Elephas maximus indicus: one gene and its partner. The protein of the gene in region 2 interacts with the protein of the main gene of each other region in a biochemical or structural test. Links are inferred from orthologs where the notes say so. Each region holds a gene or a part of one and is shown on either strand. Other genes may lie near its edges. The genes, in order: SELE and GLG1.

Evidence for each region.
Region 1: the proteins of GLG1 (region 2) and SELE form a complex in vitro, tested with the Homo sapiens proteins (2 studies listed by BioGRID and IntAct). The link is inferred for Elephas maximus indicus from reciprocal best matches to the Homo sapiens genes GLG1 and SELE.

What each region holds. Positions count from the first base shown.
Region 1 is NC_064821.1:214,286,548-214,290,462, forward strand, and holds the start of SELE (E-selectin), read left to right. Parts: upstream 1-1,263; 5' UTR 1,264-1,365; intron 1,366-1,704; 5' UTR 1,705-1,751; coding exon 1,752-1,788; intron 1,789-2,564; coding exon 2,565-2,948; intron 2,949-3,676; coding exon 3,677-3,784; intron 3,785-3,915. UniProt on the Homo sapiens protein: Cell-surface glycoprotein having a role in immunoadhesion. Mediates in the adhesion of blood neutrophils in cytokine-activated endothelium through interaction with SELPLG/PSGL1. May have a role in capillary morphogenesis.
Region 2 is NC_064839.1:40,477,417-40,481,331, forward strand, and holds the start of GLG1 (Golgi apparatus protein 1), read right to left. Parts: upstream 2,487-3,915; 5' UTR 2,457-2,486; coding exon 2,040-2,456; intron 1-2,039. UniProt on the Homo sapiens protein: Binds fibroblast growth factor and E-selectin (cell-adhesion lectin on endothelial cells mediating the binding of neutrophils).

The DNA of each region.
Region 1 (3,915 bases), on a different chromosome or scaffold from region 2:
GTCCCACCCCATCTGGAGCAAGGGAGGGTGAAGAAAACCAAAGGTACAAGGGAAAGATTAGTCCAAAGGACTAATGGGCCACAACTACCGCAGCCTGCACCAGACTGAGTCCAGCACAACTACGTGGTGCCTGGCTACCACCACCAACTGCTCTGACAAGGATCATAACAGAGGGTCCTGGGACAGAGCTGGAGAAAGACGTAGAACAAAATTCTAACTCACAAAAAAAGACCAGATTTACTGGTCTGACAGAGACTGGAGAAACCCTGAGCATATGGCCCCCAGACACCCTTTTAGCTCAGTAAAGAAGTCATTCTCGAGGTTTACCCTTCAGTCAAAGATTAGACAGGCTCATAAAACAAAATGAGACAAAATGGGCACACCAGCCCAGGGGCAAGGATGAGAGGGCAGGAGGGGACAGGAAAGCTGGTAATGCGGAACTCAAGATCAAGAAGGGGAGAGTGTTAACATGTTGTGGGGTTGGCAACCGATGTCGCAAAACAATATGTGCATTATTTGTTTAACGAGAAGATAGTTTGCTCTGAAAACCTTTATCTAAAGTACAATAAAAAAAGTTTGTGTCAATTAAATATGAGTATATACAGTTTTTCTTATTTCTTTCTTCACTGAACAAATCAGGGCCATTTTCCAGACAAGAACATCTAAGACTCTTTCCCATTAAAAAAAAATTTTAAGGCAGCATTATGTCAAGCGTTGAAGTGGAAGATACAATTTTTAGTAATTTAGCCACAGCAGGTGCACAGAACCTGAGGACCAGTGCACAGCTGGTGATGCGTATCTCTGGGGCACCGCACGGTAAAATGAGTTGAGTTGGCATGTGAGAATGAAAAAGTGAGTGGAGATGTGTTATTGACAGCTACTGATAAAAAAATTGAGGGTAGCATTCCACGGACAACAAAACTATTCTTAGTTTGCTTACGTTTCAAAATTCTTATTACTACCATGATAACATGAGAGATACTGCCAATAATCAATGGTTTAAACTTTTAAAAAACCCACATTTTATGTTATCAGAATGAAAAATCGTAATTCATGTCATAGTAACAGAATTGCATGTAAAGTATAAAGGAACGGACAAAGGAGAATTAGTTTGAGCGGCACAGTTTCTGACATCATTGTAATTTTTAGCCTTATGGATATTCCCGGGAAACTTTTTGGATGCTGTTGGGGAATTCCTCCTTGCTCAATTTGGACATATCCTCCTATTATGCACAGGAAGCCAGCACTCGTATAAAGCAACGCCAGCAGGGGCAGGGCTCAGCTGTTCTTGGCTGCCTTCACGTCAGGAGTGCCGGTGTGACACAGCACAGAGGATTCGACACCTGTCCAACTGCTTCGGAAAGCGTAAGTGCAGAAGTCTTCACAGGGGCAGACTTGGGCCGTGAAACAGGTTAGCAATGTGATCAGGCATGTAAAGGCATTCCAATAAAAGGTCTTCTGCAAGCTCTTATTCTACTGACTAGTTACAAACCTGGCCTTTCTCTTTCACCTAAATGACGAAAAATCAGAAATGTTATTTGTTCATTTGAGTAAACGTCTTTGATGTGCACAAAGATTGTGGCACTGGAATTCTTGACTTAAAATCTGATAATGCTGCCATAAAGCCATAATTGTAAAATGACATGAGTAACTGGCTACCCAGAGTTTCATTCCATAATTAATTCTGTACTTTTTCCTCTCCAGAGAAGTATTTTTCGTCTAACCCCTTGAGAAAAACAACTCTGGAGGTCATGATTGCTGGACACTTCCTATCTGCTCTCTCTTTTGGTAAGTCAGTGTTGTCAGTTAGGCTAGAGTTTCTCAACCTTGACGTACTTTGTTATGGAATGCTATCTTGTGAGTTGTGGGATGTTTGGCACCATCCCTGACCTTTAGGTCCAATGTATTATGCCCTAGGCTAGGAGCAATTGGAGTCCCTGTGTGGTGGAAACACTTAAGCGCTAGACTACTAGCTGAAACGTTGGTGGCTCCAAGCCATCCAAAAGTGCCTCGGAAGACAGGACTGGTGATCTGTTTCTGAAAGGTCACAGCCTTGAAAACCCTACGGAGCAGCTCAGCTCTGCACACATGGGGTCGCCATGATTCTGAATCACCTCTATGGCAACTAACAGGGGCAATTTACCTCTCATTGTCTTACCTTCCCCAGGTGCAAAGTGTTGATCATAAATTGCCCATTTTCCTGAGGCACCGTGAGGATTCAGTAGGTGGCCGAGTACAGTGCTTCAGGCAGTGTTCGGCGGTACATATTACACACTCAGCCAAGCCTCGTTATTCTATTAGTCTACTGTAAAGTGGGTAGGCTAGTAGGTTATGGCGGAGGAGTTCAGGAGGGACTATCACAGAGGGGGCTCACAATAAATGCCGTTTTTCCACACACACTTTCTTAATTCTGAAAAGCGAACGAAGGCCACTGTGCTCAAGCATATATGCCATTGGTTCCTGGGGAGAAAAACGCACCACAATTAAGAAAACAAAGAGCTCAGTTGATGGAGTCGAATCGCAGCAAGACTAACCTCTAGCATTTCTTTTGTGTCTCCCCCTAGCGTTCCTCCTGGTTCGAGACAGCGGGGCCTGGACCTACCATACCTCCGTGCAAACCATGACGTACGATGAGGCAAGGGAGTACTGTCAGCAATACACAGATCTAGTGGCGATTCAAAACAAAGAAGAGATCAAGTACTTGAACTCCATATTAAGCCACTCACCAAGTTACTACTGGATTGGAATCAGAAAGGTCAATGGTGTGTGGACTTGGGTAGGGACCCAGAAGCCTCTGACCCCAGAAGCTGAGAACTGGGCTCCCGGAGAACCGAACAATAAGCAAAACGACGAGGACTGCGTGGAGATCTACATCAAAAGAGGGAAGGATGAGGGCATGTGGAACGATGAGAGCTGTAACAAAAAGAAGCTGGCCCTGTGCTACACAGGTAGGGAGTTTGGGGCTGCAGAGAGACTAGTTTCCAGGGTGAATGTCTTGACAAATCCTTTACAACAGGCAAAAACCAATCTCTATTGTGGCTACTTTATGTTCTAAAATATACAGCTTTAAAAAGTTCTGTTTAATGAGTAAAGTATCTCTTTTTGCTCCTTTGTATAAATTTAGCCAAGACTGTGTGTGTGTGTGTGTGTGTGTGTGTGTGTGTGTACTTGGGCAGTGCGCATGGTTAACTCACTCTGCTAAGCCAAATGTTCAGTCCTCCCAGAGACTCTCCAAAGAAAGGCTTGGTGAGTGACTTCCCAAAATCAACCATTGAAAACCCTATGGAGCACAGTTCTACTCTGACGCACATGGGGATCCCATGAGCCGGAATCCACCCATCAAGTGGCTTTTACATACGCAGAGAGTGTGTACACACATGATACATATCTTAGTAACTTCTTCACCTGCCGGAGTGGAACTGTACCCAATATCTGTCAGAATGTGAATTTCGTATGCTAGGTGTTAGCTGCAGCTAACTCTGGAGTGCCACATGTTAACATTCGGGTTTAAAACAGATGAACCTAAGACTCAGATGTGGCGTTTTGTTAAGCACTTTAAATGAAAATCGTTGGCACTGTCTCATCGAGTTCATCTGTACTGCACATTGTTGATGCTAAGCTCACATGCACCTCCTGTCGGCATAAGCCTGGCCCTCATCAGAACTGTTTCCCGCAGCTGCCTGCTCCAACATGTCCTGCAGTGGTCACGGAGAATGTGTGGAGACCATCAATAACTACACTTGCGAGTGTGACCCCGGCTTCAGTGGACTCAACTGTGAGCAAGGTAAATCATGGTCTCACCTCTCACCTCTCCCTTCACGTCTCAGCTGGCTTTGGAGTCAGATCGACATGTCTTCCCTTCCCTGGGGCAGTGTAAAATGGTGGTGAAAAGCAGAGGCTATGGAGTCGCAATTC
Region 2 (3,915 bases):
AATAGTTTGAATCCACCAGGTGCTCCTTGGAAAGGTAGTTCTACTCTGTCCTACAGGGTCATTATGAGTCGGAATAGACTTGAGGGCAATGGGTTTTTTACCCTAGTACCTACCGTTAACGAGTTGCTATATCATCCCCATAAAGGAAGAAAAATGCTGTTACTGAAATGATGTCCTTGCTGGGAATTTTACAATCAATGGCAGAGCTAGGACTAAATTTCCAGACCAGGTTCTTTAAAAAAAAAAAAAAAAGAACACTAAAGTACCCAATAAATTAAACAGGCTCCAAAATTAGTCAAATCTAAGTTATTTACAGATAATGTATACGGCTACTCACTTCCACATGTAACACTGTGGAAGCCTGCTGGATGTTTCCAACGTCCCTAATGTGCTCAAAGGAAGGGACATGCATTCCTTGAATGGGCCACATTTTGGCACTTTCTCTAATAATGTCCTGTTTCTTCTAGAAGCCACTGAGGCCTTTGGTCACCAATATTATTACCCTACGTTAAGGAAGCAACTTCTGTATCCTCAAAGACCAAACAGAAAATTCCAAAAAGCCTGGTAGAGTTAAGAATCTTGTAGCTTCTAGAAGAGCAACTCAAGTATAAAGAATGGCAAGGGATTAGCCTTTTAGTCTTTGAGCTGTAGATGAGAAGTCATCTAAGGCCCCTATTTCTAGTGGTTCTGGAAACTTCCTCCCTCTCTGTCTCCTGATTATCTGTGTCTTTTCTGAATTATTTTTGAATTATTCTGCATACAGCAACTCTCACAATGGGATGAAGTGGACGAAACTGCCAAGAGTAGCAATTTTCTACAAACCTGTGGTCTTCCTGTGGCCTCGAATACCTTGGACAATTCTGGTGACACAATTTTCTAAATGAAACCGTACCAAGCAACAGCTTTATTCTATTTGTCAATCTCTGGGGCTAATAATGTATGTTTAAGCACCGGACTACTAGCAGAAAGGCTTGCGGTTCAAATTCCCCCAGAGATGCCTCAGAAGTAAGGCCTGGTAATCTGCTTCTCAAAATGTTACAGCCTTGAAAACCATATAGAGCAGTTCTACGCTGCACACGTGGGGTGGGTCACCACTAGTCTGAATCCACTCACAGGCAACTAGCAACATCATCTTTTGAAAAAGTATCCCTATCAGACCTGCTCCCCAGTTTTGAGAACTGTCAAACACATGCTTATGTCTGTAGCAATAAATCTAGAAAAATAATTTCAAATGTCACTAAGCCGAATCACATCAAACAATAGCAAATCTAGATCTCATTAAGAGTTACCGTTAAAATCATATTCAGACGTCAGAAAGGCAAGCCCCCAAGGCCCAATCACAAATACTGTGTAGTATTACAGCTTCAAATGCTGCCCCAACCTTTCACGCTTTAGGGTTCCAAGTCACTTGGCGTAATAGCTTAAACATAGATTCACTACAAGCTGACCAAAAGAAGTGAAGCACAAAAGGCATACATTAGTTTCAGCACCAGAGAAATAAACACGGGGTGAAGAATGGGGTAAAGACAGTAAATCCTCCTGCTGACTACAACACACATCAGAACAGAACCGAAGTTACCTAAAAAACCTTATCCACTGCCAACAAGCAGCCGATCATTCTTTAACAGTTTAAGTACGCCAACCATTTTTCAGGTATAAACGTATTGCTGCGAATTGCCCAAGTCTAAACGGAATGGCAAAATCCTAAGCCGGTCTTCGGCAAAGAGCCACTCTGCACTGAGCATCACACAAAAGACAGGAGCAAACAAACACGCTCTGGGCCTTCGCCGATCGAGGCGAGTTGGGATCTACGTTCCAGACCCCGGCACCAGGAAGGGAAAAAGGAGCCAAGGAACGGAGGGGTGGGGTGGGATCCTCTTGCCCAAATGCGCCAGGGAGTGAGAGGCAGGGAGGAAAGGATCGAGCGCGGCAAGGAGGAAGCGAAGCAGCAGCAGACCAGCGTCAGCGCCTTCCAAGGCCGGCGACACCCTCGGGCCTGCACCAGGCCAGGCCCTCCCGGTCCCGTCCCGCCTCCTCACCTCCCTCACATCCTGCAGGCACTCCAGCACCGCCAGGTTGTTGCTCCAGGTGTGCTTGGGGCACACACGGGTCACGTCCTCCCTGCAGGACTCTTCCTCTGCCAGCTTCCAGCCCCCGCCAGCCCCCGCTCCTCCGCGCCGGGCCGAAGGCCCACCCGCCGGGAACGCCGGCTGCGGCGGCTGAGGCGGTTGCTGCTGCTGAGGCTGCTGGAGCTGAGGTGACTGAGGCAGCTGCTGAACCGCCGACACGGCGCCTCCACCCTGCCCTACGAAGGACACAAAGTTGGCCCCCGGGCCCTGGCCCTGGCCGTGGCCGCCCTGGCCCTGGACTTTCTGGGCCCCGGCCGCGGCGATCAGCAGCAGCTGCAGCGCCGCCGACAAGCCGAACATCCTCCGTACACGTCCACACGCCGCCATCTTGGATCCGCGGCGATCTCGACGCACACGCCGGCGCCGCGTATTTAAATAGTGGGCGGGGCGTCGGGGCGTGGGCCGGCGTAGCCCACAAAGCCCCGCCCAGGCCGGCGCCGACCTGTGGGATGGGAGCACAGCGAGGGAGGTGGCTAGGCTCCAGAAGCCCACGCCCTGGACTTCCGCGGGCCTCCAAAGGCGCTCTTTACTCGGGGAGTTGCTGGCGCTCCGTAAAAAGCCTGGGTAGGGCAGCTTTGCCTAATTCCGTTGGTTGTCATCACAGAAAAATAAAAAGAAATTGGGGTTGCCACAACCAAGATGGCCGGTGAAATATGTAGCCGGTTCAATGATTTTTTGGGGGAAAAAAGGTAACTTTATGTATGTAGAGGTGAACTTTACACAACCAGTATTCTAGAAACGAAGAGCCTCTCTTGCATCTCTCCTTCCCTTCCATCTGCTTCAAAAGCCTTTCTTACCCAAAGAGCAAAACAGTACTGAATAAAAAAGCACAAATTCCGGAGCCACAAAAGACCTGGGTTATAATCCTTGAGTTTCGGCAGACCAGACAAGTCTTTTTAACTTCTCTGAACTTCATTTTCTTATCTGAAAAAAGACGAGGAGAAGCTCTATTTAACATGTAATTGCGAAGTATGGAAATAAGAAAAGTGGTGACCCAGAATGTTGTCTTCAAGTCAATTCCGACTCATGGCGACTGCCATGTGTTAAAGAGTAGAACTGTTCCACAGGGTTTTCTGGCTGTGATCTTAATGAAGCAGATCACCAGGCCTTTTCTTCTGCATAGCACTGCGTGGGTTAGAATCACCAACCTTTAGGTTAGCAATAGAGCACAAACCCTTTTGCACCACCTAGAGACCCTGGCCCACAATTTTAAAAAAAGCGCTGTAGGGTCAATTCCCACTCAGTGACCCAATAGGGCAGAGAACTGCACCATAGGGTTTCCCAGGCTATAATCTTTATGGAAGCAGACTGCCACATCCTTTTCCAACAAACAGCTGGTGGGTTTGAACTGCCAACTTTCTGCTTAGCAGCCCAGTCCTTTAACCACTGTGCCACCAGGGTTTACAATACCTGTTAACCCATTGCCATCTAGTGGATTCCAAATCCTAGCAACCCTTAGCTTACAATACCCACAGGGACCTAAAAAAGTTATAGCCAGTATTATTAATAAACTGTGAAACTGTGCATCAAAGTCCTGATTCTAAGCTAGAAGTTAAACTCATGTTTAAAAGACGAAAATAGCAAAATGCTTGTTTAGGGACTCTGGTTAAGTCTGCATGTCCCTAACTGTTCCTGCTGTTCTGCATGCAGCATCTTTTCAGCAGCACCTCCCGGCAAGTTTGGTTCTTTTCACCACACACTAGTGACTAGTCTTCCTAGGAGAGATGACATCTTCCCAGAGTGTCTTCATATCCATTGTCATTTCAGCCTTGGTTGGACTGGTTTC